Linked DNA regions of Arabidopsis thaliana. The main gene of each other region encodes a partner of the protein of the gene in region 2 in a complex. Each region holds a gene or a part of one and is shown on either strand. Other genes may lie near its edges. The genes, in order: KAPP and GRF7.

The links.
Region 1: GRF7 (region 2) and KAPP share a complex: the UniProt entries of both Arabidopsis thaliana proteins name them as parts of the SERK1 signaling complex.

Annotation. Positions count from the first base shown.
Region 1 is NC_003076.8:6,475,679-6,492,558, reverse strand, and holds the start of KAPP (kinase associated protein phosphatase), read right to left. Parts: upstream 4,241-16,880; 5' UTR 4,110-4,240; coding exon 3,966-4,109; intron 2,822-3,965; coding exon 2,632-2,821; intron 2,457-2,631; coding exon 2,256-2,456; intron 2,151-2,255; coding exon 1,975-2,150; intron 1,890-1,974; coding exon 1,731-1,889; intron 1,642-1,730; coding exon 1,498-1,641; intron 1,411-1,497; coding exon 1,349-1,410; intron 890-1,348; coding exon 751-889; intron 641-750; coding exon 546-640; intron 425-545; coding exon 395-424; intron 63-394; coding exon 1-62. Other genes in the region: AT5G19270 (reverse transcriptase-like protein), read left to right, coding at 5,550-5,604, 5,900-6,942; FAF3 (FANTASTIC four-like protein (DUF3049)), read left to right, coding at 12,199-13,065. UniProt on the Arabidopsis thaliana protein: Dephosphorylates the Ser/Thr receptor-like kinase RLK5. May function as a signaling component in a pathway involving RLK5. Binds and dephosphorylates CLAVATA1 (CLV1). Functions as a negative regulator of the CLV1 signaling in plant development.
Region 2 is NC_003074.8:520,205-537,084, reverse strand, and holds GRF7 (general regulatory factor 7), read left to right. Parts: upstream 1-8,696; 5' UTR 8,697-8,827; exon of another isoform or gene 8,828-9,006; intron 9,007-9,141; 5' UTR 9,142-9,169; coding exon 9,170-9,646; intron 9,647-9,750; coding exon 9,751-9,873; intron 9,874-9,974; coding exon 9,975-10,091; intron 10,092-10,204; coding exon 10,205-10,285; 3' UTR 10,286-10,792; downstream 10,793-16,880. Other genes in the region: LBD41 (LOB domain-containing protein 41), read left to right, coding at 1-338; RAD23C (Rad23 UV excision repair protein family), read left to right, coding at 934-999, 1,619-1,780, 1,886-1,936, 2,099-2,166, 2,285-2,440, 2,524-2,701, 2,867-3,013, 3,108-3,173 and 4 more; AT3G02530 (TCP-1/cpn60 chaperonin family protein), read left to right, coding at 4,628-4,761, 4,861-4,924, 5,289-5,424, 5,642-5,793, 5,885-5,932, 6,059-6,151, 6,314-6,420, 6,533-6,647 and 7 more; AT3G02510 (Regulator of chromosome condensation (RCC1) family protein), read left to right, coding at 12,549-12,577, 12,676-12,820, 13,235-13,345, 13,446-13,506, 13,584-13,699, 13,773-13,858, 13,961-14,162, 14,272-14,325 and 3 more; AT3G02500 (mental retardation GTPase activating protein), read right to left, coding at 15,457-15,639, 16,493-16,653, 16,736-16,880. UniProt on the Arabidopsis thaliana protein: Is associated with a DNA binding complex that binds to the G box, a well-characterized cis-acting DNA regulatory element found in plant genes.

The DNA.
Region 1 (16,880 bases), on a different chromosome or scaffold from region 2:
TTCTCTCGCTCAAGCTAACCACTCGATGATCTTCAGTCATTTGTATATATCTGCCACCAAGACTGCCAAATGCAAACCAAATCGTAATCAGTTAAGAAAGTCGAAGTTACTATTATAATGCCGAGACCATTAATTCCTAAGAGCAAAACAACTATCAGAATTTTTTATTATTAATTAAGATCCGTATCAAGGAAGATGTAGGGATAAACTCTCTTTCTATTTCCACAAAGCAAAGCAACGACATTCAAATATTCTTTTTCTTATCCAAAAAAATTCTACTCCGACGTGAAACAATCTCATCTATTGATGTCTATTTACTCTACTATAAAGCCTATATTAGTAATCATCTACTGTTTCCAAACCAAGAGGTTTTCATTAAGAAGACCACACTCACTCACGCTTTAAACACGCAAGATCTTTGTTTCTAATCTGAGTAATCAAGTCCCCTCCCTCTTTCTACACCAAGAAATGCTGCTACAAGTCTGGTTAATGCAAGCTCAGCAACTACGAATCTCAAGAATAGCAATATAATATTTTTTACGTACTGGATAACACATGCTGAATCCCCAAGATTGGCACATTGTGCGAAGAAGTTTTCTTCATTGTCTTTCCAAACCAAGAGAACAGTAGCTGTACAACCCTGCATCGATCAACTAATTCATTAAGTAGGAAGCAATGAAAAAGTTCCAGCCAAGTCGTCAAGAAGGCAAACATGCCATCAAAGGAAAAGAAAAGGACAAACTGAAATACCTCATATTGGTGTTCTTCGAGGCGAGCTTCTGTTTTAGCAAACATGTCCCTAAGGACGTCCGAAGCATCCCTTTTTGATAACACTTTCTCCTTCCTCAGCGAGTCTGATAAAATATTCGCTAGAACCTCCGGAATAATTCTGGAGAAGAAGTTTAATTAGCTTATATATTCAAGTATATAATTGCCGTTGTTGGAGACACAAGTAAATCAAAGATGCTCCAGTAGTTAGTGAAGGCTCCTAACATATAATGACTAAGCCCATTTACAAAAATGAACAGAACAAAGTTTCATATATTTGTTCCCGGCTGTAACCACGCCTGCCCTAACTGTAACACATTTGCATGGCTAATCACATGCAGCTAAAAATTTTAAACTACATAAGAAGTTGATTAATAAATGAAGCAAAAACAATAAAGAAAAACTCAGAAAGGCGGATGCTGTTAGAAGTTTAAACACAGCCAAAACCGCAGCCTTTTTCAGGTTAGGACATTTCGTAGGTTAAGCATACAAAGAAAACCCAAAATAAGACCTATCGAGGAGGATTTTATAAAAGAAATAGTTAATAGAGGTGATTTGGATTTTTTTAAGAAAGACTCACTTGATTGCGGATTGAGCAGCCCCTGATCCCCCATGTCCATCACAAACACAAAACAGTCCAAACTGAAACCATATACATTTGGAATTATGTTATCAAAAGCAGCGAAGCCCATCATCATACATACAACTCAAATCACTAATCAAGGTAACCTTATTAGCCCCAGGAAGCGGCCACTTGTAATGACAAACATCTTCCATCGGAAGTTTCCTGCCTCCTCGACGCATAGCCATGGGATCTGAGGCCACACCAATTTTGAAGGGTATCTGAAACTCATTCTGAGAGGAGATACGGACCTTCCAAAGATGAAAAGAAATTGCATGAAATTAACAAGGGAAACAAAAAAAATTACCAGCAAGCACCTTCACCACTCAGATTGACTTACATAGACCTTTGTTGTTGTTCCCAAAGTTATTATATCATCACTTGCAAGCTCGACAGGGTTACCCCACTTCCGGCTGCCTAAATCAGGATGACTTATTGAATGAGAGTTTACGAGAGTTCCATTTAGGCTACCCATATCTACCAGCTCCCATTTAAATTTCTGAAATCAAAACCAGGCAGGTGTGACGCACAGTGTAAGAAGTGGCATGCAGAAGTCGTATAAATAAATCTACATAGCTCCTTACAGTAGAGTTCCATGTTATCTGTGCATGTTTCCCAGAGACTTCTGAGTCCTTCAATGCCAAATCAGAAGGAGAAACCCTTCCAAGTTTCACTGGCAGCTTGGAGGAACTTGTGGAGTTCACAGCATGTTGAAGCCCAATGGCAGGACCCGCGATGACTTCCAGGAACAGCCAACTTCCTGCACTTCTAACACAAAATATGATATATGTCTTGCACAAGTAATTCAAAAAATGGATTGAAGTTGTATTACACACCCTAGGCAAGCAAAAGAATAAGAAATTACTTTGATCTTCCACGAGCCTCGGAGAAAGATTAATAAGTCGATCCTTTTCCAGATTATATTGCAAGTTTTCATTTCTGTTATTCTGCCAGTCATATGTTTGCACTTCTGCCAAGGAACCTTTTTCAGCTGGAAGTTTAAGCGTTTGGCCCACCAAAGCATTGTCAGAAGGTTCAGAAATTACTTCTAGAACAAAGCTTTCACCTACATAAGTTAGGGCAGATTGGTAAGGTCAAGAATGAGTGATGCATAGAGTTCATAATGCAAAGAGGATGTTTCTGATACAACTGTATCATTTCCATCACGCTAATGATCTAGAGTCAATCCAACTTGTCTACCAGAGCTGGACATAGCAGGGGAGGAAAGAGGCAATGAGTACCTTGGGAGAAATGGGGAGATGACGAAGGAAGCCTTTGTTTGTAAAACCGTCCCTCAGTCAGAGATGAATGCAAAAGTCCATCATTTTGGTAGCAAGCTCCCTCTAAATCATATTCCCTTGTTACCTCACTGGTTTGTCCTTGGATCAAATTTCCATCATCAGAAATAAGTGGTCTCTGCAAATCCCCCACCTGCAAACAATGGCGCTGAAAGAATTAGGGCTAGGAGCAAAAAAAAAGTTGCGTAAACTGGATACTCAATAGCTGAAAGATGAGAAACTCAATATTTCCCTATATGAAGAATGTAGTAATAATAAGGTGGATTTAGTTCTTATACAATTTTAGTATGTTATCCAAGTTATGGAGAAATTGCAAACAAATGAAATCTACAAGCGAAAAGACTAGATGGATGAGCTGTATCCTATTTCCAGTGAGAGTAAAACCGCCTATTAGATTAGTAAGGAGTAGAGTATAACAGAGCTAGGAAATGAATGAACAGCTGATTTCACCTTTTTCATTCATTTGTTACCATTTCTCCGGTAGAAAGACAAAAATACAAAAAAAACAAAACTCACAGAATTCCTACAAAAAGGTAACTAATGAGGAAGAAGTTCTCCCACGATAATTTCCCACACTGAAACTGAGTTCTTGGCAACATTCACATTGCCTAATATATAAGCACCAATGTCCAAATTCAGAAACAAATCGACAGTTTTCGCAAGCAAATTCACAAGAGTTCCCTACTTCCAATGTCTGTCTAAGTGCACATCAACAGTTTGAGCCGTTGAAAATGTCAATTAGCCATGGCTAGAGAAGAAGAAGAAAACATAGCACACAAAAGAAGCTGAAACGGCCATTACGCTTTATTCAAACAAAACCATTTTGTGCAAATCGAGCAGGCAGAGAAAATCCAGCCACACTCATTATAAACCAAACGAATCTATCAACTCTTGAGCTTCAAAAGAATCTAACAACAACAAAAGAATCCTAATTTTTCAACAGTGAGAAAACTCAACAACACATTATCATCTCCAAAAAGTCAATCAGATTATTTCAGAAACCAAACACACAATATATATCTCACCGCCCCCACGTCGACAAAATCAATCAACGAAATCGCCAAATAACCCCAACTACTATCGGAATCCACGAGAAAAGCATCATGATCCAGCGACGTAACACTTGTCACTGATGATCAAATCCTTTATCAATTGATCATTTCGCGAAAACAAACCATCCGACATAAAATCGAATCAAAAATCAAAAAACGAAGCCGTGGAACGAAGACTCTGAAAATTGAATAGAGAATGAGATAAGAGGAAGAGGAAGAAGAAACCTTGAAGGTAGAAGAAAAACGAGAGGAGGATCGGAAACGAGAAAAATATCGCCATGGCTTGCAGGCGAAAAGGATGATGAGGGAGATGAGAAGCAACATAAGAACCATGAATAGCCCAATAATGTTCATCCCTATCATCGCCATCGTCTTCGCTTCTCTCTCTCTCTCTCTCTCTCTGCACCCCTCCTCCTTCCAGATTGGTTCCCGAGAACCTCGCTTTGAATTTTTCTTACCTTCTCTGTTTTTTTTTTTTCTTTCTCTTATCGTATTTTCACTGTCTTTTTATTTTCACTGGTCGATAGACTCTAAGAGTACATTATCCCTAACGCTTTACATGATTGGCTAGGGTTGGATTAAGCTATATAATTATCACCTCCACGAGTTACTATTGGTTAATATGTGGATTACGCTATAGATTATGAGATTTTTTTTGTTTTTTACACTTGATTTATGGTTTTAATTTTTTGAAAAAAAACAAATTAAATAGATTAGAATTATCAAGAATCTTGTAAAGAAAAAGGTTATGTTTTTGAAGACTTAAGTGATATGTAGATATGATTCTAGAAATCTCATTGTTAATGAAAAGTTTTTCGATCGAGATGACTTATTTATGTTTAGATGTATTTCGAGTAACATCTAGAAAAATTGGTATAATATAGAGGTACAAAAATAACGATGGTAACGTTTTGGCATTGTTAATCTTACCGCCTTATGTATTTGGTAACAAAAAATATCCGATTATTTTTTATCATTGCAATATATGATTGCTAATCAAAAGCAGGAATTGGATAAGAGAAATAACAGTATACTTCTTACCATTGCGATATATGATTATTAATCAAAAGCTTACTGCTTTTTGTAGGGTAACAGAAATAACGGAATAGTACTTCTTACCGTTGTGATAAATGATTACTAATCAAAATAAATTAGTTAGCACAAAAAATAACAAAATGTAATCCCTAATGCAGTAAAATTTAAACATGAATGTATAATGCATTCTAATATACCAATCGTAAATATCAGTCTTGTGCTCTTCTCTTTTATGCAACAGACAAGCACACACACGCACACAAGTCATTTTCCTAAAATCTTGTAAAACATAGTAATCAAAAATGTCTATGTGAGTATAAAACATGTTACAGTTACCTTTATTCTTGAATCAGAGAGAACTTCCATTTTCTTTTGTTTTATCAACAAATGCAACTACTCCATTTTTAAAGTCCCATATGAATTTATAATACCAATATGCATACAATTATGCATACACGAGATGGAAATTACATAAATGATACTTACTAATCAACTTTCAATATATTATCCATTTGGTAACGTTTTTATTTTTTATTGACTATGCTTTAAATGTGGTAAACATATACGAATATATAATTTGGTAACATAATAATAGTCTTCATTCACTACCTTCTCAATTTTGTGTATTTAAGAACTCTCAATTTGTTTTTTGTTTTTTATGGTTGTTCAAAGACAACAATTGGTAAAGCATATATATAAGAAAATTTGTTGTTAGAATCTTTCAGTTGGTTAACAAAACGGCCGGTCAGACCTTTAAACAAGGTTCAAGAGACGATGCTATTGTCTACTTCTCAAGTCATGATTGCTCATCACAGAGGACACATAAATCGTAACTGAACCTTCTCTCTTTGATATATCAATTTAAATCTATATGGTTCTTGTCAATTTTGTGTTTAACACTCTTGTGAGTTTTTAACTTTTGTATGGCTAATGAGTTTTGTAATCTTTTTAATTTGATGTCGTTGTCCTTTTATCATAAACTATACAATTAGCCTAATGTCTAACGTTTGTTTTTAAAAAGACGATAGCTAGAATTTTGCAATTTTTCTTGTAACTTGTATCTAACTAATAATTCAGAAATTTTATCTTTAATTTGTTTAATAAAAATGATAAATTGCTTGCAGGTAGACATGTGGATTTGAGTGTACAAGGATCCATAGGGGTTGAAGAAGAGGAACGGTGGCTTAATGCGCGACAGATAGATACATATGGCGCATGCTTTGTTCGGGGGACGAGCTTGGATCTTAACTGGACTCCTCCAGACTTTGGAATTGTTAAGTGTAATGTGAATGCTCATTGGGGAAATGCTGACATGATGAGTGGGGTAGCTTGGATTGCTCGTGATGTTAATGGTTTGGCTCTATACCATGCAAGAGATGCTTTTACAAGGTCTTCAAATAGGATCATGGCCGAGTTGCGTTGTATCTTGTGGGTGGTTAAAAGCTTACGAGATCTTCGTTTGCAAAACGTGATAATCTCTTCGGATTGTCAAGCTGCAATTGCTGCCTTGTATAATCCTCGGGATTGGCCTCGATATGCAATGTGGCTCGATACTATTTTCATAGCTTGTCAATCATTTCCTTTTATCATCTTTGAGCTGGTGTCTTGTCCTGCTAATTCCATTGCACGGGACATTGCGGAGAGTGTTACAAGGGATGGTCGTTTTAACCCGTACCTTTCTGAAGGTGGACCGGTGTGGCTTCTTAATCGGTTACGTAGTGAGGCGCAACGTGGACTGGCGTTGCTTCGTAATCGGTTACGTGCTGATGAGGACGAAGGTGGACCGGACTGGGTTCAAGATCTGTTAAGTAGTGAGCCACAAGGTGGACCGGCCCGGTTTCATAATGGGTTACGCAATGAGTCGCAAGGTGGACTGGCCTGGCTTTATAATCAGTTCCGTAATGAGCTCCAAGGTGGACCGGCCTGGCTTTATAATCGGTTCCGTAATGAACCGCAAGGTGGACCGGCATGGCTTTATAATCGGTTCCGTAGGGAGCCACAAGGTGGACCGGTCCGGTTTCATAATGGTTTACTCAATAAGCCACAAGGTGGACCGGCCTGGCTTTATAATCGGTTCCATAATGAGCCGCAAGGTGGACCGGCCTGGCTTTATTATCGGTTCTGTAGGGAGGCTCAAGCTGGACCGGCGTGGTGTTTTTCTTATTGATAATTTGTTTCTCTTTTACTATGTTTTTGCAATTTTATATTTCATGCAACAAGAAAAAGAAAAAAACCTAGTAATTGTTTAAGGAAGTTATGTTTATGTATAATCATCAAGACGAAGAAGATATATTTTTAAATTTACAGTTTTTATGAATTGTTATTTGTTTTTCCATTTTCCAGTTTAATTATTTTTATAAAAAAAAAATGTAAGAAGCCTAGTGTGACACGTGGCACATGTGCTAGTTCGTTCCAAGAAATTTTATTTTTGTTTCCATGGCGATTCCGGGAAGAGAAGAGGAGGCCACGTCGTCACATGGCTCACATTCCGATGCTCAGATTAATACCACGTAACCGTTCCCTATGACGTTGTCTCCGTTCTTCGTCTCTTCAACCTTCAATTTTGCAAACCCTAAACGTTTCGTTCGTTAGTCGCGCGTACTCAGATTTCAATGTTGATCGTCGATTATGTGGTTGATTGCTACGTCGTTACCCAGATGTTCCATTGGTGCGTGCCTTTTCTATCATGATACACATTTACACATAGAAAATGTATAAATTAATCCAACGGTTGAGAGCACTCTACTACATGATCATGTAGATGATTGAAATTTCATTATTTCGACGTTGTTATTGCATATGAGCCTGAATGTTTCATTTTTTTCTTTTCTTTATACGGGTTGGAAATTTCTGCAACTATAGTTTGAAATTTTTCTGCTTATATATGTTCAATGAAATGTGAAGAGTCATTAGACATTGTCTTCCCTATTGTACCGTAAAGATGTTGAATTCTTGAGGGTTGCATTTTGATGAGCAAGAATGCATTATATTGATTTGATTTAGGGATTTAGTAAGAACTTCTTTGTTAATGTGTGGGATATCTTTAATGACATTGTATGATGAAGAGAGATTTCTCTATTCTACATTAATTATTGAGAGACGGATCGGAGTAATGGGTAATGCTACATGCATTTATCTTCGTACAATCAATTAACTACAATCATGTTTGGTATGCCATTTTTGTTCAACTTCTCAACTATTGTATCTTACATTTTACCTCTGTCAGTAAATGGATATGCGTTACCGGTGCAGCCTAAGCTAAAAAAAAAACTGTAGATGTTTTTAGTGAAGATTGTCCATGTTGTTGTTTTACTCTGTTTGTTTTGCATAACAATATTATAGCCCTCTCTAATTCTATATTTCTCTTATTAGCTTGGTTAAGTTTAGTATTGATGAGCGCCACTCTAACAGAATCGTATTTATTGAGTGTTTTCCCATTAATAGTAAGTGAATCATTCAATTACTTTGAGTGCTAAATTTGACTTTAATCTGTTTCTGCCTCAATCTTGGTTTTAAGTGAAAGTTTAGATTCTCCTCTAACTTGAGAAAATTTTCCCACTGTCTTATGGTTCAAGATATTCTAGGCATGGCACAACCATGAAGAGCTTTCTGGCGTGAGATACAATATCATCTTTGTTGGATCAACATGTCTTTTCATTTGGATAAGACCGAGCTGATGAAGAGTCATTGACTCATTGTTCCTATAGTGCATCAACTAAATGTAAGTTTACCTGTGTTATTTGTTCGTATTAATCCGTACTTGAGTCGTGATAACTAGACCACGCTAAAACTTTTGAAAAATGTTGACATCTAATCTGCTGAAATTTTTACTTGTTTGGGTGATATGTGAGTAAGACATTAGCTATGGATGAGATTGTTATTTCGTGTGGATGTCATGCTTCCCTAAAAGCAAAGGAGAAAGTTCTATTTCCTAATAATCTTTAGTTTCTATTCTTTCTCTGCCTAAAGTTATAAATTATGTTAGCCGATAACATTTGTATGCATGGCTTAGATAAGCTCCCTGTCTCATTCTAATGATATAGATTTTCTTTCTGGGTCAGAATTTTAAAAGTCGGAGAATTGTCACATAAAGGTTCCACTAATATGGTCAAAAAGATGGTGGAATGCTTCTTTTTTTTTGTTATGCAATTTATAGTGAGCCAAGAGATTCAATACTCGTGTTTTACGCTGTGATCATAGAACATAGATGGAAACGTAAGGCTTAAGTTTATGTCTCCACTTAACTTCAAGTGGTATGACGTATTTCCTTTGCTTTTAGATCCTCCATTAGTTGAAAACTTGAAACCAATCACAAACATTGATGGATTATGATTCGAAGTTTCACTCTGTTTCTTTTTTCATTTTCTTTCTTCTTTTAACTTTCTTGCGTCATGGGCATGAACCAAGCGAGTGATACGAAGTCAAAACATATTCTGATTTAAATTTGATGCTTTTGGCCTCTGTCATTACTCACTTAATTATCGTAATCTTAATCATGTATAAAAAAGCAGCTTTTTGTATGAGGACACACTCAAAAGCATTCTCCCTTCGAGTGGCCAAAGGTTGCTGTGCTACTTTCTTCTCTTCTATGGAGGTGGTTCGGATCTTGGGACCACCTCTGCTGATCAAGATTCAATTTGTGGATATTTGTCTAGAGATTACGTCTGCAGGTCAGCTCCTTTTTGTTCCACTTTTATTAGTTTAACTATGTCATAACTTTCTTACTCTTGCTTACGTTAGAGAATCCTAATTATTATTTCATTCTTTATTCATTCTAAGCATGTCAACTAGTTGCTTAATTATATCATTCTTGATTCCTTCAGCAGAGGAAGTGGGACTAGAAAAACCAACCTAGTTTTATGGATAATAGCATTATTAATAGCAAAACATTGATTGCTAAATTACTAATTACTGAGTTATATACCGAATATTGAAACGTGTCTTGGGTAGATCTATATCCATAAACCACATGAGGTTCTTAATAACACATTTTGACCACATTTCTGTTCTCTACTGCATTTGTACATGTTATTGGTATGTTCTAGAGGACTAAGTAATACGTGATCAACCACCGGGAATATATCGTAGGATGCTACTTGCTATAGAAGCTGAGTACTGATATTGGACACAATCTGATAACAGTAAGAATGGTTTTCTTTTGTTGTTGTATAATATATAATCAAAGGTATCTTTGTACCAAATCCTTTAAGACTTAGTGACCACAGAATCTCTTGAAAACATAAACTAAAATCCACTTGCTTTGTTCATGTCGCAATAAACCTCGAAAAGACAGGGAATAGGTTATTAAAGTTGATCATAGAGTTATACAGCACACAAGCTAGCATTATGCTCACAGTTCATCAATGGTAGTAGCTACACATTCTTTATCTATGATACAAGTACTAAACTGAGATGACTTTTTCTGTTACAGGAAACCCAAGAAGATCTTACAAATCTCTCCCCCACCCTCTTTGGAATAGGAACAGCTCATGCATTCTAGCTTTCTTTTGGTTAGAGAGAAGAGTACTAGGTTACATTAGTTTATATAATAAATAAATCCACAAGCCTTAGAGTTAAGCAAAAGTCAGTGACCCTAGGGCATTTGTTTAATTACTAAGAAATAAAAGTGTCTTTTGTTGTTTAGAATGGGGTTAAGTACGTAAGCATCTGATTTAACAGAGAGACAGAAGAAAGAAAAGTGTTTTAGTGGGGAATCACTTGGTTCTTGCTGACGACTTAAATGATTCTTAAACTCTGTCTTCTTAAGCTGTTCCGTACGGTTTCTTTAGGGTAACACATGGGCTTAAGAGGGCAAATCTTGAAAGTTTACTGTTGGCTAGATTCAAAGGACAAGGTTTGATGTTAACTTAAGCCAATATTTTTCAGAGTTAGAGAAAAGTTTTAGATGTTGAAACATAGGTGGTTTCTTCTTATTTGTCACTAAACCTTATTGTACTTCAGTTAACTAAAACCTTGGTCACTTTGATTTGATATGTTTCTTTTAATTATTTCTGTTCACATTCATTAAAAAACTAAAAAAAAAACTTTCATTTTTAGGTCATAATAAGTGGGCGGAATTTGGTTTTTGCTTCCTTGCATTCAAATACAGTGTAATTGAGGTGAGTGTATTTTCGGCTCACTTTCTTTGTTTTTGTTTTATGCTTCATGTCGTGGTTTCTTGATACATGAGAATTTCCTCAATTTATGACCATTGTTGTCTAAACATTAATTTGCATGGAAACTCATCTTATGTTGATTCCTTGATTAGTGCCAATAATCATTTTTATTTTTCTTTCTGGTAGATGGGATATAGATTTCAAAATTAGTGGGCTGTTGTTATCATGTTGTTTAAATCGGGTCTAAGAATTACCCGACATAGGTTTTGACCATCCATGCCTCTGTGTGACACACGACTCCTTTGCTTTAAATTATGTGAAATGGAGACTACTATTAGAGAGAAAAACAAACAATCGTTTTCATAATCATAGCACTACTATATTGGGGAAACCATATTTGAGAACTTTCATAACTTTTGTTGGATTGTTTTAGTTTTTTTGGAAGGTAAAATTAAAATATAAAAGAAAGAACAAAACTTGTCTGTAACTTTTTGACATGTTACTTCCATTACGTGTCTCTCTGTAAATGGCCGTATGTTTTTTTTCGTATGCGTTTGATTTTGCTATTTTTCATTCAGATGTTAAACTGTTGTTATTGTACCTTAATAAGATACAAAATTTTACTCTTCTTAGTAAAACCTCATTTGAATTATCTTTTCACTAATTTTCATTTTTTCATTTGGAACTTTCTCTTTCTCTCTATTGATTTTTTTTTTCTTCCTTTTTATGGGTAGTCTCTTTCAGTCCCAGATCACATGAGGGTCGAAAGTTCCTTGGCTGCTGAATAATTCAGTCTTTATATTTTTTTGCCAAATGAGTCAAAAACGATGATTAACCAAAGTTTCCTGTATAGTCTATGCTTTCCAAATCTTTTCCTATTAACTAACAAACAAATCAGATTTTTTTCTTTTGTAACAGTAAAAAGATTATATGAAGGTTTTTTTTCAATGTTATTCATGTGCACAATACTACAGCGACTCTCCCTTTGTTACATAATAGTATTCTTATCTGCATTTGTGTGACATAATAAAATAAATAAATAGAAAAGATTTTGCATTATTCAAGTGGTGGTGTGGAAAAGCTCTCTTACCCACCTCTCTAGTCTCTGCACATTGCACAGTCACTTCTCTTTTTCTTTATTTTCTTTATTTATTTTATTCACTTTTTGTGACACTACAAATTGGCATCACCTCCCTCTCATTATCCTTCATGCTTATTTCCAAAAACATCTCTCTGCTTCTTTAGTTTCACATCTCACACAAGTCTTTGCTCTCTCTTAACAGTTTTTCTTCTATCATCTTTAAACTATGGGAACTGTTGTGTATCAACAAGGGTTTCAGTCTCAGCTTAATGAGCCTAGGGCTTTAAGGCTTAGGCTATCTTCACCAAATCCTCACTTTTCTCAACCATTTGGTTTAGCTCTCAAATCTCATTTACTTGACTCCTCTCATGCAGAGGACACCCGAAACCGTAACGATGACAAAGCTGCTGCTTCCCCGGTCTCTGACTCGAGTGGCTGGAGCTCTCTCCAGTCCCTATCCTCTGGCTCCTCCTCCTCCACAAAGACGACGACAAGCTCTGAGAAAGAGAGTAGTTACTATGTTCAACGTCCGTCTTCTTGTAGAGCTCTAAGCGACCAGAGCTTAGCATTGTGCACTGAGAATCTCGGAAGCGAATCTGGTTCTGATGTTACAGATATTGATGAGTTGTTCTCGCTTGACGTGCAAACCAAGAATCTCGGGGAAACAACAACGGAGACAAGAACGTTAAAAAGTAGGAAAAGGAGTGTGAGCCCTAGTGATCTCCCACCTCCTTTGACCACTATGAGAGGATTTCAATGCATTCAAATGAGACCACACCGTGAAAACGGAAGATTGGTCATGACCGCCACAAACGCGCCTCCTCGTAACGGATGCTTTCAAGCTGACCGTAGCAATGGTCGTCTCCGTCTCTCTATCTTGAAAGACTCCAATGAGTTTGTAGAGAACGAAGAAGAGACTATTGAGCCTGAAGAAACCGAAGAATACGAGGAGGAGGAGGAAGAGGAAGAAGATGAAGATGAAGATGAAGTGATGGGCATTGAGAATGTTCAAGTATCAAGAAGATGTGTTCAAGGCGATCGGGAAAACAGGGGATTGCTAAATTGGGAATCTTTCTGCGTTGCTACTTCCTAAAAGAGAGAAACTTCTTATTTTGCTCTGTATTTACAATTTCACAATTTTTCTCCGATGTGTTTGATTGTTTTTAATAGAAAAATCATCGTTTCCTAACTCGAGAAAAAACTCAAAAGTAGATTCAATTAACTTAAAATAAAAATGATAAAATAATGGAAAGAAATGGGCAGAGGGAATATGCTTGTGGTCTGGTCGGCAGTTAATCTAGTTTGGTAAGAAAGATTCCCTCAGTGGTTCGAGATTAGTGGCAACCTCAACTTTGTTAGGACGAGAAGCTTCCTTTTATTATTATGCCAATTCAATTTCCACCAAATCAAATCAAATTAATTGCATGTATATCATATGATGAAAAAGTAGGATCGATTTCAAGAACTTGTGATACAGGAAGTTCCACATTTGAAGAAGAATCTTCCAAAAAATTAAAGTTCTATGATAAAAAAAAAAAATACAGAATATACATTGAAATTTTCTCTTTGATGGCAACAAACAACAATAAATTAAAAAACATAATTAAGCTCTCAAACATATAATTATATATAAATCCAACTTCTCCAACAGAAAATTAATGATCTCAATCAAATAGTATGGCCCAAAACTTCACCAGAAAAAGATTTTTCGGTTTTAGTATTAAAAATCAAAAGTTTCTGTAGTTAAGAATTAATAGGCTAAACACATATGCATTGTAGGCCGGTATCCCTATATATGTAATATTTTCTTGTTAAAAAATAATATAATGGAACACGGATCAAATTATACAAAAGTTCCTTACTAGTTATAAAATCAGAATTAATTGTTTGGTCATTGCTTAAATATTTGAAAATTCGAAAAGCAGAGAGGCAAAAGACAATTGAAAAAAAACAAAAAAAAACTGAAAAAGATAAATTAGAAAGCATATAATCTGTTTGTATTAAAAACGCATACATATATATATACACACAACATAATAAAATTTAGCAAGCATATTTGACGTCAATATTCTCTCGAAGATGATCAATTGTTTTATAATGTAATAAGTATGAACATTTTTTTATCAAAAAAAAAAGAAGAAACTAGGTTGGTCCGTACAATAACGACGTCATCACAAACCCGCGTTTGGTTAAACCCAAATCAAAAGGCTTTTCCTTGTACGGACGGCGAATGTGTTCGGCGTTTGGTTAAAAACTTTTTTAATTATTATACTTTTACTTTCTTTAATTGCATATGACTAACACATACTGGAATACATCGTAATTATTTTTATTTAAACCCCATATTTTGTTTAAACCCATCTTTGCTTATAATGATAACTTGAGATAGTATTTATTTATTTTGTAACTTGTACATAGTGAGACATAATAAATTTGAAGGTAGTTTTCCTAAATATGTCTCCAAATTAAATTACTATTAAATTACAATAATAGTGCAAGTTTCCACTCGGTTTGGGAAAAAAGCTTTAAAAACTGCGGTTTCTTTTTATTTGGCCGTTTAAAATCTGTAGTTTTAAAATTGGAATAAAAATACCAAAATTATTTTTTGTTGCCTTTTAAATCCGTAGTCTTTTAAATTTTGGTAATTTCGAACTTGCGACTTAACAACTGTTACTGGGCGTTACGAAAGTCGTTTACGGTGTTAAATTTAATACTTTAAGTTTTATATATATACAATCGGTTATGAGTGCATTATGAAAATATTTTCTTGGTCTAGTGGTAACCTGGGTTTTGTATAACCCTAAGTTAACGGGTTCGACGCAACTTGCAACTTTTAAAGTTTTTTTTTGTTTTTATTTTGCTTTTTTAATTTCACTTCATCTTCTTCACCTTCTTGCAATTGATTCTGCCACTACTTTTTCCAACTCAATTCCTTCACTCCCCCAACGATCTCCACCATAAACCAAAATCCCTAACTCTCTGTTCATCCAACCTCCCATCAATCACATATCTCTCCATCACCACCAATAACATAAACGATGAGAATTGAATTGAAAAAATAAAATCAGTTACAGTAAAAGAGGTAAAAACCAGAACAAGATTGGGATTGTGTTCAGGCTGAAGATGAGGAGAGACTTATAGAGATTATCAAACAAGCGTCAAAGGAAGGGTTCTAGGACCAATCATCGAAGGGATTGCGTCTCAAAGATCTATGAGCAAAACCCCAAATGAAATGGACCAAGTTAAAAGAAAAAAAATAAGTTGCAGGTGGACTCGAACCCAGATATCAAGAATAAAATGATTTGGGTGTTAGCTCACCAGACCAAAGCAATATCAACGGAATAATTCGTAAACATATTATATATATATATATCTAAACATGTAGGGTCAATATTTAACGTCGTTAACGACTTCCGTAACACCCATTAACAGATGTTAAATCGCAAGTTCGAAATTACCAAAATGTAAAAGACCATGAATTTAAAAGGCAACAAAAAATAATTTTGGTATTTTTATTCCAATTTTAAAACTACAGGTATTAAACGGCCAAATAAAAAATAAACCACGGTTTTGTAGGGTTTTTTCCCTACTCGGTTTCTCTTTATATGGAATATAATAATAAGAAAATGTAGTGAGCGACACGTGAAACTCCATCTTTGAAACTCTTTATGGTTAAGGGTTTTTGTCTTCTTTTTGGTTATTGTTAATTATTAATTATAATTACTACTGTGAGCCTGTGAGTGGCGATTGGTATTATAAAAGCTCCTTTTTCACGTTCCTTTTCTTGCAAAGTAGTCTGCATGGGATCCGCGTCTATCCATTTCGGTATTATTGCATGTTCTTTGGAATTATTTTGACGCTATATACTTTGGTTTATTGCTAGTTTCTAAGGAAATTGAATTTTTATATTTTTGGTATAATTAATAACCAAGTATTGTTCAAGAGACGAAAGAAATAAGTGCACCAACCCCCTTTTTGTTGGTTAAAATGAGAATTAAATTAAAATGACAACGGCTCATCACGACTTCCAGTACATCGTTAAATATTTGTATCACAAACTTTTACATGGCTAAAGTAATGTCGTGAAATCTCCAAACTACTAACCCAACTTTTAAAATTTTGGATCCGATGTTTCAAACTGTACATGCATGTCGATGCTTCATATTCATGAATCAAAATGTCCCTTTAAACATCATTTGTTTGACCTATTGACCTCCACATGATTAGTTACGCAATGTCTTTTTGGTGTGCTTATACTTTTATGTTTAATCTGAAAATGTTGAGAGAGCAATTATATTGGGTAGGTTTATTTGTGGCTAAGCAGAGCAAAAAGACATGGTGAGTGATGATTTCAAGTATGTGGACGTCTGATATACTATCCTCAAAACGGTCACACCTCACAAGAAGTCACCCTTTTGCCCTTATTTTATTAGCTAGACATAGTTTTTTTTTTTTTCATTTTTAGTTATTAAACAAAAAAAATTGAAACTTGAAAGTATTTATTTATTTTAATTAAATTTTTGTTCTTTGAACGTGGGCTTCCTTTTGATTCTTTATGTTGTCGCTCTCTTTGACCGAATAATTAACCAATTCACTTGTGAATTTGATTACATCACCAAAATTATGTTGAGTATAAAAGATTATATGAGAAAAAAGCCTTATGAACATGTATACCTAAAATAAATAAAAACATGTAATCTGATAAATATGATAACTTCTAGATTATTAATTTTTGAATCTGAAATTTATTTTAAAAATTACTTCTAGATTGAGTTATCAATAATAGAGCAATATTTTAATTATTGTCATAAAAAATAAAATGTTATAAAAAAGCCTTCTATATTAACTTATTAAATAGTACTAAATAGTAATATGTACAATTAATATTATTTTCTAGTAGATTGCAAC
Region 2 (16,880 bases):
CGAAAACTCGCCGTGCTAAGCGGGTCTCCACCGTCGCGATACAGGCGGAATCGGAGGGAAAGTCTGACGAGGCTAGTCACGATTCGTCGTTGAGTCATCAGTCTGAAATAGTGGCTGCTCATGAAGGAGAGAGCAAGGAATCCGAGAGCAATGTCTCTGAGGTTTTGGCATTCTCGCCTCCGGCTGTGAAGGGCTCCGGCGAGATAAAGCTTGACCTAACTTTAAGGCTCGAACCGGTGTCACGTGCGTATCATGTGGTACCTGTTAAGAAGAGAAGGATCGGCGTGTTTGGCACGTGTCAGAAGGAGAGCACGTGTAAGACTGAGCTTATGCTCTAAGCTCCGTTTTAGCTATACTCAGAAGTTTTGCCCCCATCAGCTCTATTCGGCTCGGCTCTGATGATCTTCAAGTCGAGCCGGTAACTTTTTTTTAATATATAGTTCTCTATTTCCCCCTTTAATGTTCACTTTCCATTTGTGACAAAAGAATAGAGTATATGTACAAAATTATTTACAGAGATTAATTCAAGAATTGGCTGAGATATTATCTATTTTTTAACGAATAAAAGCAAAAAATTTATAAAAAGAAAGTTGATTTATTTCTAAATATTATGGGCCTATCTGCTATCATTTAATAAGTGATATTTTGGGCCTATCCTTTCACGACTGTATTAAGGAAATTGTCAATACCACGTGGCATATTTTAATAGGATAATGGCGGCTGACCTGGCAGAGTTGAAAGCACAAGCCATGTGCTTCGGGTGTGATCCAGTGGAGATATCGAGGGAACGCAAAGGTAGGGGCCAGATTCTGTAGTACCTTCTTCGCCTACCTACTCTCTTTCCCGAATTTATTTGCCGGCGGTGATCAATCAGAACGGGATTTTAGCCTGAGTAATCGGTCACTGGGAAGAGAATTTCGACGGTGAGAGAAGATGAAGATATTTGTGAAAACTCTCAAGGGGACTCACTTCGAGATCGAAGTAAAACCCGAGGATTCGGTATGCGAATTTCTACAGATAGTTTCCTTACTTGTCAATTGAGACTGTTGAATTACGTATCCGAGGAGGTTTCTCGATCGAGTTTATTGTTCTCTCGGTAGAGTCGGTTTTCTCAATTAAGTTTCTCGATCGAGTATTTGATTTGGTCGATTTTAGAGGTTTCTCTGTTCTTTCGTGATCTGAGAGCTAGTTCTTATAAGTGGAATGTGGTAATTTGGAGGTTTCTAAAGAGAATTTAAACAATTCAGCAATCTTTGTCTATGGGTTTGTTTGGCCATCTTTTTTAGTAATTTCACTGCTTGTAGTGGGAATGAGCTCATTTCATTTGCATTTGAAGTGTGTTTGTTACTACTATGTTTGGATCCATTAACCTTCTGCTTCTCCTAAGTGTTTTCCAATTGGGGAATTTACAGTCTGTCACTGAACTGAGAGTTGTGCAACAACATTTCCATTTTAAAAGATTTCGTTTGGATTTTATACTTCCATCCTGTTATCATCTCTTTTTTTTTTGTGAATGCATTTCTGATAGTTGTAGTCTTGTAGTTGTAACTGACATTTTTATTTTTCAATGCGCTTGACTATTTTCTTGGACTTGTGCTGGTAATTTATCTAATTTCAGGTTGTTGATGTGAAGAAGAACATAGAGAGTGTGCAGGGCGCAGATGTGTATCCTGCTGCAAAACAGATGCTTATTCACCAAGGTAAAGTGCTTAAAGATGAGACAACTATTGAGGAAAACAAAGTTGCTGAGAACAGTTTTATTGTCATTATGATGAACAAGGTACGTTTTGGATCTGGGGAATAAATAAGTAATTCTGTTGTTTTCTGTTTAGCTCTTTGATTACCCGATTCTGATTTATGCTCTCTGGTGCTAAACATGTAATAGAGTAAACCTGCTTCAGCTGCAGCATCTAGTGCATCTGCTGGCACATCGCAGGTGAGTTGGTTCTGTTGTTATGACATCATTATAAAGGCTCAGATGCTGCAACTTGGGATTTTTGGAAAAACTTCTTGCCTCTGCAACTAATGAAACGAAAGTGTCAAATGCTTCTATGTATTTTCTTGTTTGTTGAATGATCTAACTTTGGTGTTGGTTTAGGCCAAGTCGATACCTCCCTCAACATCACAGCCTTCAATTTCCCCTCAGACTCCAGCTTCTGTATCAGCGTGAGTTTTCGAGACAAGTACTCTCTGTTTGAAAAATTCCTAGAATCTATCTGAAAAAACTGTGGCTACATTCTACAACTAATTTCAATATTTTGCCCCCAATTTGAAAACTGTGCAGACCAGTGGCACCTGCACCAACACGTCCACCACCACCTGCACCGACACCGACACCTGCACCTGTAGCTGCAACTGAAACTGTGACTACCCCTATACCTGAACCTGTACCTGCTACTATATCATCAAGCACTCCTGCACCAGACTCAGCTCCTGTGGGGTTAGCATCTCGTTTCAGTCTTCTGCGCAGCTCAGAAATTGACCTACTCTTATTCTGTTTCCTATTTGTTTTGATTAAAATAGAAGTCAAGGTGATGTTTACGGACAAGCAGCATCAAATCTAGCCGCTGGAAGTAATTTAGAGAGTACCATTCAGCAGATTCTTGACATGGGTGGAGGAACCTGGGATCGTGAGACTGTTGTCCTTGCACTTCGTGCTGCATTTAACAACCCTGAAAGAGCTGTGGAATATCTTTATACTGTGAGTTCAATTATTTTCTCTCTATTTTCGTACCGTCATGCAACTTAAGAGGCAGATTTTGGTCACTAATCAATCACTATGCCGAGAATAGATTTCCTTTTTATTATGATTGGCTACCTACTAAGTGAGAGAATACATATTTAAACACCGAAATTCATGTCTTAGGGGATCCCTGAGCAAGCTGAAGTTCCACCAGTTGCCCGTCCTCCAGCTAGTGCCGGACAGCCTGCAAATCCTCCAGCACAGACTCAACAACCTGCAGCAGCACCCGCAAGTGGTCCTAATGCAAATCCGTTAGATCTCTTCCCACAGGTAATACACCTTGAGATAGAAAGCAGATTTGGTTCATTTAAACTCTTGATTATAGATGGGTGTGCAGCTAAAATCTGCTCTTTATCTCTGACAGGGCTTGCCAAATGTTGGAGGAAATCCTGGTGCTGGAACACTTGACTTCTTGCGCAACAGCCAACAGGTATAAGCTGTTTTTTTCTTTTCTCGTACACTTGCTTACAGAGTTTATCAGACATCAATGTGAAACATAAATACTATTTTTGTATATATTAGTTCCAAGCTCTGCGAGCAATGGTGCAAGCAAACCCTCAAGTTCTGCAGGTATGTTGTTCTAATTCACAGAAGAACTGAAATCACTGTCGGTTTTCATTAAATATTGTTTCAAATAATTTTGTCCTTGCGTTTTTTCTTCAGCCCATGCTTCAGGAACTGGGAAAACAGAACCCAAACTTGATGCGGTTGATTCAAGACCACCAAGCTGACTTCTTACGCTTAATCAATGAACCCGTTGAAGGAGGGGGAGAAAGGTATGCATATGATGACTTTACGATTATGAATTAATGATTCATATGTAACATATATATCAACAGCAAAACGTTGGGAGGATTTTGATTACCTAAATAGTTATTCTGTGCTTGGATAATTTGTTGTGCATTGTGTAATTCAGTGGCAACCTCCTTGGCCAAATGGCGGCGGGAATGCCACAGCCACAGGCGATTCAAGTCACACATGAGGAACGTGAAGCCATTGAACGGGTCTGTTCCTTATTTTCTCTCTTTTTTTTTTTTTTTTACTTCTAGAACTTTGATCTTTCCTCTGAAAAAGAAAGTTTGTATCACTCTTTATAATCGATGAACTCGGTTTCACATTGATAAATACAGCTTGAAGCGATGGGATTTGAGAGAGCATTGGTGTTGGAAGTGTTCTTTGCGTGCAACAAGAATGAAGAGTTGGCTGCAAACTATCTTCTAGATCACATGCATGAATTCGAGGAATAAGCTTCTTCAGATTACTTTACCTACTCTCTATCTTTCGCATTGGTCCATATGTTTTAGCTATATATGTGTGGGATGCCAAATCCATGACCTCGTCACTTTGTCCATGTTCATGGCTCAGTTCTCAGTTTAAAATGAAGTTTGTCATGTGTTCTTTCTTTGTATTGTCGTTAGTCCTTACAAAATATCTTGTTCCAGTTATTTTTGTTGAATTGGGGACAGGTATTATTTCTGTATGTGCCTAAATAGTAAAATTATTAAATTATAAATAATTTTTTTTAAAAAAAAAAGGAAAACTCGATAATCTTATAATCGTTTCTTTTGTATGTATGCGAATACACAACAAAAAGTGACTTTGGTCTTCGTTGGACTATTTTGTGGAAAAGTCTTATATCCCAGAAGCCCAAAACTTGTAAAATCCGAAGTCTATGGCCCAAGTAGAGTTCTCCACATCTGACAAAACGACATCGTTCGATGGAACTTTACGAGGCTTCTTTTCCCTCACATCGTCCTCCGAGCCCTCACTTGACAGAACTCAGAAATTTGAAAGAGAAATAAAAGAGAGAGAAGCTCCCAGAGAAGAAAAGCCCTAAAAGCCCCACTCCTCTTTCCAGTTTCTTTTGATCTCTCAGCATCGAAAATGTCTGTGCGTGTACTGAATCCTAATGCTGAGGTGCTCAACAAATCGGCCGCGCTTCATATGACCATCAACGCCGCTAAGGGTTTACAAGATGTACTCAAGTCGAATCTCGGTCCTAAGGGAACTATCAAGATGTAAGTCTCTTCACTCTTGCTGGATCTATCTATTGTTTATTCGTCTCTTCACTTGTTACTGAATTTTCATGCCATTTTATCGATCACTCCGGTGTGTAGGCTTGTTGGTGGTTCCGGAGATATCAAGCTTACCAAGGATGGCAACACGCTTTTGAAGGAAATGGTAAGTCCGATAAAGAAACAAAAATTTGTAGATCTTCTTTTTTTGGTATGGAAAAAATGGTAGATCTTGTTGATTGGTTAGAATAATCTAGCTTAATGTTTCTTCTTACTTGTGAATTTTGTCAATAAGCTTGTTTGTAAAACGCTAGGGTTGTGCCTATTTGTTTGTTTTCAGAAATGGAATTTGGTAGGTTCTGGTCGAAGTCATGTTAAACCCTAGTTAGGTTTAGGTTAGGCTGTTTTTCAAGATTGTGATAGAAATAATAGACACAAATCTTTAGACTGGGACTGGTAATGTGACTATCCTGCTCTAATGAATGACACTAAACCGGTTGCTTACAGTGCTTACTTGCTTATCTTTTCAGCAAATTCAAAATCCAACAGCCATCATGATTGCCAGGACAGCTGTTGCTCAGGATGACATAAGTGGTGATGGTACTACTTCTACTGTCATCTTCATTGGTGAGCTTATGAAACAGTCGGAGCGTTGCATCGATGAAGGTTAGCCAAACTAGCTTTTCTCTGCATTATACTTTGAGTAGGGTAGTTTTATGCTTCGCTATGTCTGTTCTAGATAATCAGTTGGATCTGATGCCATTCATTTTCTGTATCTGTTTGTCATGGCTAACATATAATACTTTTCTTCTTCAGCTACCTTGTCATGTTTTGGTTAATCTCAGTGAGAAATGGTCCTTATGAAAGGTTTACTATGTCTCAGGAATGCATCCACGTGTCTTAGTTGATGGTTTCGAGATTGCAAAAAGAGCCACTCTCCAGTTTCTCGACACTTTCAAGACACCTGTGGTTATGGGTGATGAGCCTGATAAAGAGATTCTGAAAATGGTTGCCAGGACAACGCTAAGAACTAAGGTATTCTTTGTTTGCTGATATTTATATCTTTTTTGTTATCACCAACTCTTCTCTTCGCTTGCTGACGGTCTTTTTTTTCTGGCTTACTTAGCTGTATGAAGGCTTAGCTGATCAACTGACTGATATTGTTGTTAATTCGGTAAGTTTACTGATAGCTCTCATTGAATATCATCTTGCTTTTTCACATATATGAGAACTAATCTATGGATCAATTTTGGTTTGCAAGCCGTTTGTCTTCTAATTAGCTACTTCCCTCATTCAACAGGTTCTCTGCATTCGGAAGCCTCAGGAACCTATTGATCTGTTTATGGTTGAGATTATGCACATGCGCCATAAATTTGATGTTGACACACGATTGGTACGCCTTTGTTTTACAGTAAATTTCTTCAGTCGGAATTTACTCTATTAAAATGACTTGTGTATGTGATTAAAATCTTTTTACTGGTAGTGGTCGTGAATCAAATATATCATCTTAATGCACTCGGTGTGAATGTAACATGGATTATTTCTCTTGTAATAGGTTGAGGGGCTTGTTCTTGATCATGGTTCGAGACACCCTGACATGAAGCGACGTGCGGAGAATTGTCACATCCTGACTTGCAATGTGTCATTAGAGTACGAGAAGAGGTACATAAGACAAATCTCTGGTTGATTAATTGAATAGATATGAAAGACTATAACTTAGAAGAATTCTCCCGTGTATTAGTGATTGTGTAGCCTAACTTTGTCTATATATCAGTGAAATTAATGCAGGATTCTTCTACTCGAATGCGGAGCAGAGGGAAGCCATGGTTACTGCTGAGCGACGTTCCGTTGATGAAAGAGTTCAGAAAATTATTGAGCTGAAGAACAAGGTGAGTTTGAAACTACTACCTCCAAGCTATATGCTGTATTCTTTCAGATATTTATTTATATTATTCTTTCAGATATTTATTTATATTTTCTTTTTCTGATGCAGGTTTGTGCTGGTAATGATAACAGCTTTGTTATCCTAAATCAAAAGGGTATTGATCCCCCGTCATTGGATCTTCTTGCTAGAGAAGGGGTAAGCTATGATTGGCTTTGTATTTTTTTCCGGCATCTGATTGTGAGAAAAGCATGAAAAAATGTAGACGAAGATTGTGAAATCAAGTGAACTGAAATTTTAACCAAATAGAGAAAAGGTTATCCACTAAGAGTATTCACCTAGAATCTCTTAAATGCCTGGATCTTCCACCAAGCTTGTTTTTTTTTGTCTTGTGCTCTGTTTCTTGTGTCTACAAGTTGTTACAAGAGAATTATCTTTCTGTTCCTTATATATGTATATATGTATCTCCAGATAATCGCCCTTAGAAGGGCAAAGAGGAGGAACATGGAACGTTTGGTTTTGGCATGTGGTGGAGAAGCTGTGAACTCTGTCGATGACTTGACCCCTGATTGTCTTGGTTGGGCTGGACTTGTATATGAGCACGTTCTTGGAGAGGAGAAGTACACATTTGTTGAGCAAGTGAAGAATCCTCATTCATGTACTATCCTCATAAAAGGTACAAATGCCCAAACTTCTATCTCTTGCCAGCTAAGTTTTGAAGATCAATTTTGCTTATCTTCATATGTGTGGTCATTGATTATCTATGATTATGATTTGGTTTTCTTTATAGGGCCTAATGACCACACTATTGCTCAAATTAAGGACGCTGTCCGTGATGGTTTAAGATCAGTTAAGAATACCCTAGAAGATGAGTGTGTCGTATTAGTAAGTACCTTCTTCTCCACAAAGATCAAATCCATTGCTATATCAGTGTGATTGTTTTGGTTTTGGGCGCATGTGGTTTATTGACATCTGTTTCTTTCTGTAGGGAGCTGGAGCTTTTGAAGTTGCAGCAAGACAACACTTAATCAATGAAGTCAAGAAAACCGTTCAAGGGGTGAGTAGAAAGCAATATTCCTTTGCTCCAATACCAATTCTTGTTTTTTTCCGGTTGCTAATGTAAATTGTGGGCAAATTGCAGCGCGCTCAACTCGGTGTTGAAGCTTTTGCTAATGCCCTTCTCGTAGTGCCTAAGACGCTTGCTGAAAATGCTGGGCTTGACACTCAAGACGTTATCATTTCTCTAACGGTATTATTCTTGTATTTTCCTCTTCTGCCACTATCGATTATGCTCCAAGTAAAATTATGTTTGTGTTTATCTACTGAGTTTCGATGTATATACAGAGTGAGCATGACAAAGGAAACATCGTGGGACTAGACCTACAGGATGGAGAACCCGTCGACCCTCAGCTTGCCGGCATTTTCGACAATTACTCGGTGAAACGCCAACTTATCAATTCAGGGTATGTGCAGAACCAAATGGAAATTTGTATAATGGAGTCTTTTAATTCAGTTGCGGTTGAGTTCAGGTTGTTAAAACGGTTGTTTGGTATTGTATTGCAGGCCGGTGATTGCTTCGCAGTTGCTATTAGTGGATGAAGTGATTCGTGCAGGAAGAAATATGAGGAAGCCTACTTAAAACAAGACTATCTTTTGTTTTCAATTTTTTCTTACTTTCCCTTTCGTGTTTTGAGTATTAGCATATGAATACTATTTATTTTTTACTCGTTATCCTTTGTTGTCTTAGATAATTTTGAATGTATCTTTTTTTTCTATCTTTTGTATCAAACAAACATGATGAATGTTTTGATTGTGGTTTCTAGCGAAAACAGAACAAGATAAAGATTTCAGAATTTTAAGAAAATGGAACCAGATTTATGTGTAAACAAACGCAATTAAAAGTCAAATCAACAACAATGCACGGCATACTTTAATTGATTTTTATTTTTCTAGTAACGGAGTCAAGGCCCAATTAAATTATTTATTTTCCACGATCATTAAAGTCTTTAACGGGTCAACACCGTTAGACACTTGTCATACTATTACTGGGCCTTATTTTTCTCTTTACTTTCTCTGAAAATCAAAGCCCATCTCTTCTTCCTTTTTTTTCCCCTAATTTCTCACTTCCCCCTCATTTCGCGTCTCGACCTTCGAATTCGACAAATCCCTAATTCCAAAATCCTCTCGGTAAGCTACGGATCTAGTCTCTCTTTTGCTCATAGTTCGACGAAATCGTCTCTCTGTTGCTCGTTCATGTTTTCGTTTCGTTTTGTGGACTTAATCTTCTCTGTGTTCGTTGTTATCTGGAGATCTGGCAAAATCTCGAATGATTTTGATAGATTCTAGGTTTCTAGGTGTATCTATCGGTATAGTGTTCGTTTTGTCTTGATTTGTTGGTCTCGACGATTTATCTGTTGTTTCTTTTGTTTTGTTGGGAATAATGTTGATATAGCCAAGCTACTGTGATGTTGATGAAGTTTGAAATGAATTTTTGAAAACAGGATCTAAAAGAGTGTGTGATAACATAAGATGTCGTCTTCTCGGGAAGAGAATGTGTACTTAGCCAAGTTAGCTGAGCAAGCTGAACGTTATGAGGAAATGGTTGAGTTCATGGAGAAAGTTGCAAAGACTGTTGACACCGATGAGCTTACTGTCGAAGAGAGAAACCTCTTGTCTGTTGCTTACAAGAACGTCATTGGTGCTAGGAGAGCTTCCTGGAGGATCATATCTTCCATTGAACAGAAGGAAGAAAGCAGAGGAAACGATGATCATGTTTCCATTATCAAGGACTACAGAGGAAAGATCGAAACTGAACTCAGCAAAATCTGTGATGGAATACTCAATCTTCTGGATTCTCACCTTGTTCCCACTGCATCTTTGGCCGAGTCCAAAGTCTTTTACCTCAAAATGAAAGGAGATTACCACAGGTACCTTGCTGAGTTTAAGACTGGAGCTGAGAGGAAAGAAGCTGCTGAGAGCACTCTGGTTGCTTACAAGTCAGCTCAGGTAAACTCTTTAAGTTTCAACATCTATCTATCTTATTTTGCTGCTTGAGACCAGTAAAGGAGCTGTCATGATGAATGCTTATGTGTGTTTTTCTTCTAATGTAGGATATTGCACTTGCTGATTTAGCTCCTACTCATCCGATTAGACTGGGACTTGCTCTTAACTTCTCTGTCTTCTACTACGAGATTCTCAACTCACCTGATCGTGCCTGCAGTCTCGCAAAACAGGTTTGTATTTTGTCATACGGGATGTTATGATGCTTCCAGACTTTGTAACACTTATTCCAGCACCAAATTGCTTAATGATATTCTCTCAATTGTTTTGACAGGCTTTTGATGAGGCCATTTCTGAGCTGGATACATTAGGAGAAGAATCATACAAAGACAGTACGTTGATAATGCAACTTCTCCGTGACAATCTGACCCTTTGGAACTCTGACATCAATGTACACCTTTGTCTTCCTCCTTTTGCTTTTCCCTATAAACTCTTATATATGCAGTCTAAGCTTCTTTTACTCAGAAATTTCTCTCAAACGCTGATTGTGTTGCTGATTTTTAGGATGAGGCGGGCGGTGATGAGATCAAGGAGGCGTCAAAACATGAGCCGGAAGAGGGGAAACCAGCTGAGACAGGGCAGTGACCAGAGAGAGAGGGAGAGACATTTCTAAGTATGTATGGTATGGATTTTCCAAAAACATATGATATGATTAGGGGATTTGTAGAAGCAGAGAGAAAGATCTTTATTTGATTTTCTCCAAAAATCTCTGTTCCCTTTTTTTTTTATTGGGTTATTAAAGCTGTTTGAGTCTTTGGTTCCTGCTTCGTTGCTTGTTAGTATTTAGGAAGTGAAGAAACAAAACTTTGAATTATTGCTTTCCATTCAACTCGTCATAAATTATCATAATCAGTGTATTATTTACTTAGTTCTTATTAGGGTATTCTGATTTTTGCTTAACGCAACAGAATTTGTGTTAACCCATTTTTAAAGAATCTTCAATCTTGTATCATTGGTCGGGTCAGTCGGATATATGGTCCGCTTTTGGTTTAAGACCGGAACAACGAAAGCCGGGGATATTGAGCCTTTCTGATGATGCGCCTCCGGGCGGTAATGCTATTGGGACATGGATTACATTCTGATCAATAGGGACTAATAGTATGGATTTACTTTGTACTTCAGACTAGGGTTTTTTTTTTTTTTTTTTTTTTTTTTTTTTTAAATATTATTAATCCTCATCCCAAATGACCTTGGGCCGCAACAAAAACAACATCAAATCCAGTTACAAAATTAGCAAATCGGAAAACATGTCGGCAAAGAAGGAAGATCGCCGCTTGTTGATGGAAGCTAGCAGAGAGACCGGAGCATTAGATCCGGCGGGCTCAAGCCCTACAGTTTCGAGGCCGCAACCGATGCTCGAGAAACTCCGACGAAAGAGACCGGTTTTCGTCCTCGAATCAACCCCACCGGCGCACCAACCCACCACAAGACTCCCAGAAAGCTAGTCTCCCCAACAAGCACATCGACGGCACCGGATTCTGAAGAAGCAATCCGATACACTGGACGGTAACCCTTCCTTCCCAAACCGGTACAGATCCGAAATCCCAGAGCTATTGCGTTTCAACCGGCTCGATGGATGCAAAATTGTGACAAATCTAAAGGAAGGTGGCTCAACCGAAGCCTTCAGATCCGTAACTCACAACCGCCCTCTAAGATCCTGAGGATCTGCAGTTAACCACCAAGCAAACAACACTCCCACCAGATGCCCTCCAACTTCCGCCGTGGGCGCAGCTCAAGACCGACGGATGAGCCGGAGGACCCGAAGCACTCACGACGTCCATAAACGTGAGACAAACGCTGCAGGTTCCTCTTCCGCCAGAACTTGAGCCACAACCACATCGGAGGGAAATCGCCACACCACCGTTGACGGAGAGAACGCAAAGACTCACTCCTGGACCGACGTTGAACAGCTACGTCCGGAGAGTGAAGAGCAACTGAACCTAAAGATCTAGATCTGAGAAGAAGAAATCGCCTTCAAGTGAGAGAGAAAAGCGTGGAAACCAAAGCAACGATTGTGCCTTCCACTTTTCTTCAATGGTTAAATGTTTGGTTGTCTCCAGACTAGGTTTTGGTCTCTTCCGTTTTAGTAGTTGTTCTCGTGTCGCTTAGAGTCTCTGTAGGTGGTCAAAGAGATGATAATATTCTGATTTGTAGAGTATTATCTATCTCATTGTGGTTTAAAAATGCAATGGTTCCTCGATCAGGTAGCGCTGGATCCGATAGTGTTTCAGGGTGATACTAGATCAAACCATTGCATTTGGGTCCAATTTGATAGAGGGGAATGTTATGTACCTTTAATTGGATGTAATCATTTGGTAAATGAAAGTTGATGTTGAGCCAAAAAAAAAAAAAAAATCTGATACAGGGAAAAGAAAAGCTTTAAACTCTTAAAATCTTTTTGTAGACAATTCAACACATAAGTCTCTTTCCCTACATTTCATTTATTTCTCTTTTCCTTATTTATTCCTCTCTTCTTCTTCTTTTGACAGATTATCCTTTTTCTATTGTTCCATTTTTTTATTCATGTTTTCCATGTGTACATTTGTATAAGAAGTTTTTTTATTCAAAATAGTAATCTGCTGTAAACTTAAAAATAACTCCAAACACACATTATCAGTAAATATTTTGAGCATGTTTATAGAAATACGAATATACGGAAATCAATGTATTGAGTAATTAGGAATAATATGAATTAAATATAATTAAACACATACACTTAACATATAAACACATCGCTATTCCTATTATTACCATCCCCCTCGAATCCCACTGCTTTGCTTTTGCGCTTGTCTCTCTGTGCATTCACCTTCTCTCTCTCCTCTCTCTCCTCTCTCTTTCTCTGTGTCTAATGGTTACAGCTACTTCAATCATAGCCTGGTCGAATACTCTTCACCTCTCTTCTATCTACTTATCAAAGTTTCGATTTTTCACTTACTCTTGTTAAACTCTCTTACCATCTTTTGTCTGTTTTCCAGGGGCTCTGGAGAAGATGGGCAACTAGGAATTGGTACCAACGAAGAAAAGGAATGGGCTTGCGTCGTTGAAGCTCTCGAGCCTTACTCTGTTCGCTCCGTTGTCTCTGGTAGCCGTAACTCCCTCGCCATTTGCGATGATGGCACGGTACTATCCGAAATATCATGATAATGAGATTTGTCTTGTTTTGATTGGTCTCTTTGCATTTGGGGACATGATTTTATAAGTTCTTGTAAAATTTGAGAGACCTGTTTTAGTTTGGTTTTATAAGTTCTTGTAAAATTTGAAGGAACCAAAAAACACATAGTTTGGCTTATTAATCATAACCAATGAAGCTCTGTGTCTTCTTATCTTGTGGGAAAAGTCTCTTAGTTGAGATTCTTGATTAGAAGCTAGCCTATAGCTCAAAGTTGTTTTCTTGAACAGGTTTTGTTTGTGTTATCATGGAATTGGTCATTATTTCAGTAGTTTGATAGCTAAATTAAAGGTTTAAATTCACAAATAAGATTTAAAACCTCTATTTCGCTAAGTTATGTTTCGGCTTCTTTGAACTGATCTCAGATGTTTACATGGGGTTGGAATCAAAGAGGTACATTAGGACACCAACCAGAAACAAAAACAGAGAACATCCCTAGTCGAGTCAAGGCCCTTGCCAATGTCAAGATCACTCAGGTTTGATCTTTCTTTCTACTGATCCATTATGGTTTCTATAGAATATCATATTGAACTACTGGTTCTACCTTTGAATGTGTTCTTTTGTAATGGATGATAGGCAGCAATTGGTGGTTGGCATTGTTTAGCTGTTGATGATCAAGGCCGAGCATATGCGTGGGGTAAGAGAATGCCTTTTCATACTCTATCTGATTTGCTTGGTGAATCATATTGAAAATTTATTATGGAATGCACATAGGTGGGAATGAATATGGACAATGTGGTGAAGAGCCTTTAAAAGACGAGATGGGTAGGCCCGTACGAAGAGATATTGTGATCCCTAAGCGTTGTGCCCCCAAACTTACAGTCAGACAGGTATACTTGCTCGTCTTCTAATTCTAAATGGTGATCTATGGATAATTCATTCGAGGTCTAAACTTCTTAAAAGGTAGCTGCAGGTGGTACTCACTCGGTGGTTCTTACACGCGAAGGTCATGTGTGGACTTGGGGTCAACCGTGGCCTCCCGGTGACATGTATAATGAACCATTAAACTCAAAGCAATAGTATACATTTTGTGCGTTCTAACTTCCAAGGCTATTACTAATATGTTTGGTTTGGTTTCCTCTAAATTGCAGAAAACAAATATCTGTTCCTGTAAGAGTTCAAGGTCTTGAAAATGTCCGTCTTATTGCTGTTGGAGCATTTCATAATCTGGCTCTTGAAGAAGATGGGAGATTATTGGCATGGGGTAATAACGAATACGGACAACTTGGAACCGGTGACACCCAGCCAACATCTCATCCTGTTCCAGTCCAAGGCCTCGATGATCTCACTTTGGTTCTGCTTCATTTCCCTTTTCTTGATTCCCTTTCTACTTATTAAACCTTTGAAGAGTGGTTCTGATTATAAGCTTTGACAATTTGTCCTTCGTTACACGCATCTGCAGGTCGATATTGCTGCGGGTGGATGGCATTCAACGGCTCTAACTGATAAAGGAGAGGTTAGAATCATCTTACGCTCAAAAATGTTTTCTTTCCTTCTCATTCTCACTGTGTGCTAGATCCTTTTTCCGTTATTATATTATGTGTTTGGTCTTCTAATTCTTAGGTGTATGGTTGGGGAAGAGGAGAACATGGAAGACTCGGGCTTGGTGACAATGACAAGAGCAGCAAAATGGTTCCACAGAAAGTTAATCTTCTAGCTGAAGAAGATATAATTCAGGTTTTAAAGCGTTAAGCTTCAATGAGAGATCTCTATTCTTTGCTGAAGAGAATATCATTCATGTAAAGCATTTAAGAATCTTGAGTTCTCTTTCTTTCCAAAAAATTCAGGTTTCTTGTGGCGGAACACATTCAGTTGCTTTGACAAGAGATGGCAGAATCTTCTCGGTCAGTCCTTGAAACCATAAAAACTGCTTTCAGGTTTAGTTTGAAACATCCTTGTGATTATGTTTCTCTTTTCGATCAGTTTGGTAGAGGAGATCATGGTAGACTTGGTTATGGAAGGAAAGTAACAACAGGACAGCCATTGGAGTTGCCTATAAAGATTCCTCCGCCTGAAGGAAGCTTTAATCACACAGACGAAGAAGAAGAAGGAAAATGGTCAGCTAAATCGATTGCTTGCGGTGGCCGCCACACTCTTGCCATTGTAGAATGGAAGTCCGATGATATTTGACACTCAATCTCACTGGTCACTGAAGAACTTGAGAAGAGAAGATATCAATAGATTTTTACTAAGGAAGGCAAAAGAAGAGTGTATCTATACAAAGAAAGAGGGAAAACATGCTTATTTCAAATTTACTTTTTCCCTACAAATAATCTTTAGAAAAAATAATAATTTTGATTTCTAGGGAAAAAAATTTCCAATAATTTTGATCAGGAGATGTAGACATTTTAGTTTGTTGAAAACCTTGAACAAAAGTTTGTGTTTTACAATCTTTTAAATCAATTAAAAAAAATTGTATCATGTGCCAGTAAAAACATTAATAAGTTCAATAAAAAACTCTATGATCAGGAAAATCCATATTATATATATAAATATACAAGCAAAAAAGGATAGAAATTGGCATATGATCTTGCATACATTGCTCCAATATTGTGTAACCAATATCCCAAAATGATTGGTTTGAATCTCAAGAAGCTTTGATAAGATGAGGAAGACAAATGAGAAATATGCATTTGGATTTTCTTGGTTGTCTTTGCATTTTCCTTATCCATGAGGAAAACCCACTTCCTCTTCTCTTCTTCTTCTCTTTCTTTTCTTCTTGAATTTCTTTTGTCATCATATTTTGCTCATTTTCTTCTAACTTCACATCCTTCAAAACCCAAAACCATAGTAACTAATCAGGTAGATAATCACTAGTTATCAAATTTATATAGTTTCTAAAAACAAAAAATATTGGTTGAATTGTTCAACCAGTGATATATAAATATACAAGCGTGCACATATTTAAGTAGCCTTTTCAATCTAAACTACACAAAATCATAATATGGGGTCCAATGAAGATTTCTCATGAAATAATTGTAATATCGAAGTTGGATGATACTGTTTTGTTTTCTATGATGGATACTAGTATCACGTCTTAACAAGGATACAATATTTTGTATATAAACAAACAAAACGTGGAGTCTTATCGCTGTCTCTTCTATGATTAAAAAAAACATTATACACTGCACATTTATGTATTGGTGTTTGCTCTTGTTTTGTGAAAGAGTTTAATTGCACAAACGAGTTCAAAGTTTTATGCAATTAATTATTACGTACGTAATTTGCATGATTTCAAATATTTTGAATGGCCCAATGCAAAATCGTACCAAAATTTGATAATCATTGTTAGAAGTTAATATATGGTTCTCATAGGGCCTTAACTAATGAGTAATATGTCCTTACAAAATTTAGTTCAAACATTAATATATCTAGTATACATAACTTATACGTAACGAGTACTGTCATATATTTAATAATATGTTTAATATGATAAAGATTATTTTAATAAAATATTTCAAGAATATTGTTTCAAAAGGCAAAACTATATACTTTCAAACCGAATTATTTCGAAAGGGAAAAAATTTGATTTTTTCTTTAACGAAAAAAATAATTTGATTTTTACCCATTTTCACAATATGCTAAAACCAAGAATTATTAGAGCAAAATCGTATATAATGTACCTCTTGTTGAGCTTTCAACTTTAGTGCATACTCAACAGGCGAATCATCAGCTCCCACCTGTCTTTTCGTTAATCTCTCCATGATCGGCGTCGTCTTTGCTGCACTAACATTTCCCTGTGCACTCACGACATCTCGTTTAGACCCCACAACTTTCTTATCTGCTATAAACCAGCCCCAAACTCTTTTTTAGTTACAAAAAAAAAAAAAAAAAAAAACTACCTTTATGAAATCATTACTAATCACCTTGAATTAGAACAGGATCGGGAGATCTAGGATCCTCATGAATGATTCTAACTTTAGGATTAACCGTTCTTGGAATGTTGAGATTATAATTAGAAGGTAAAATCATGAGTGGAGCATGCTTGGTGGATAAGTTTCTGAAAGATCT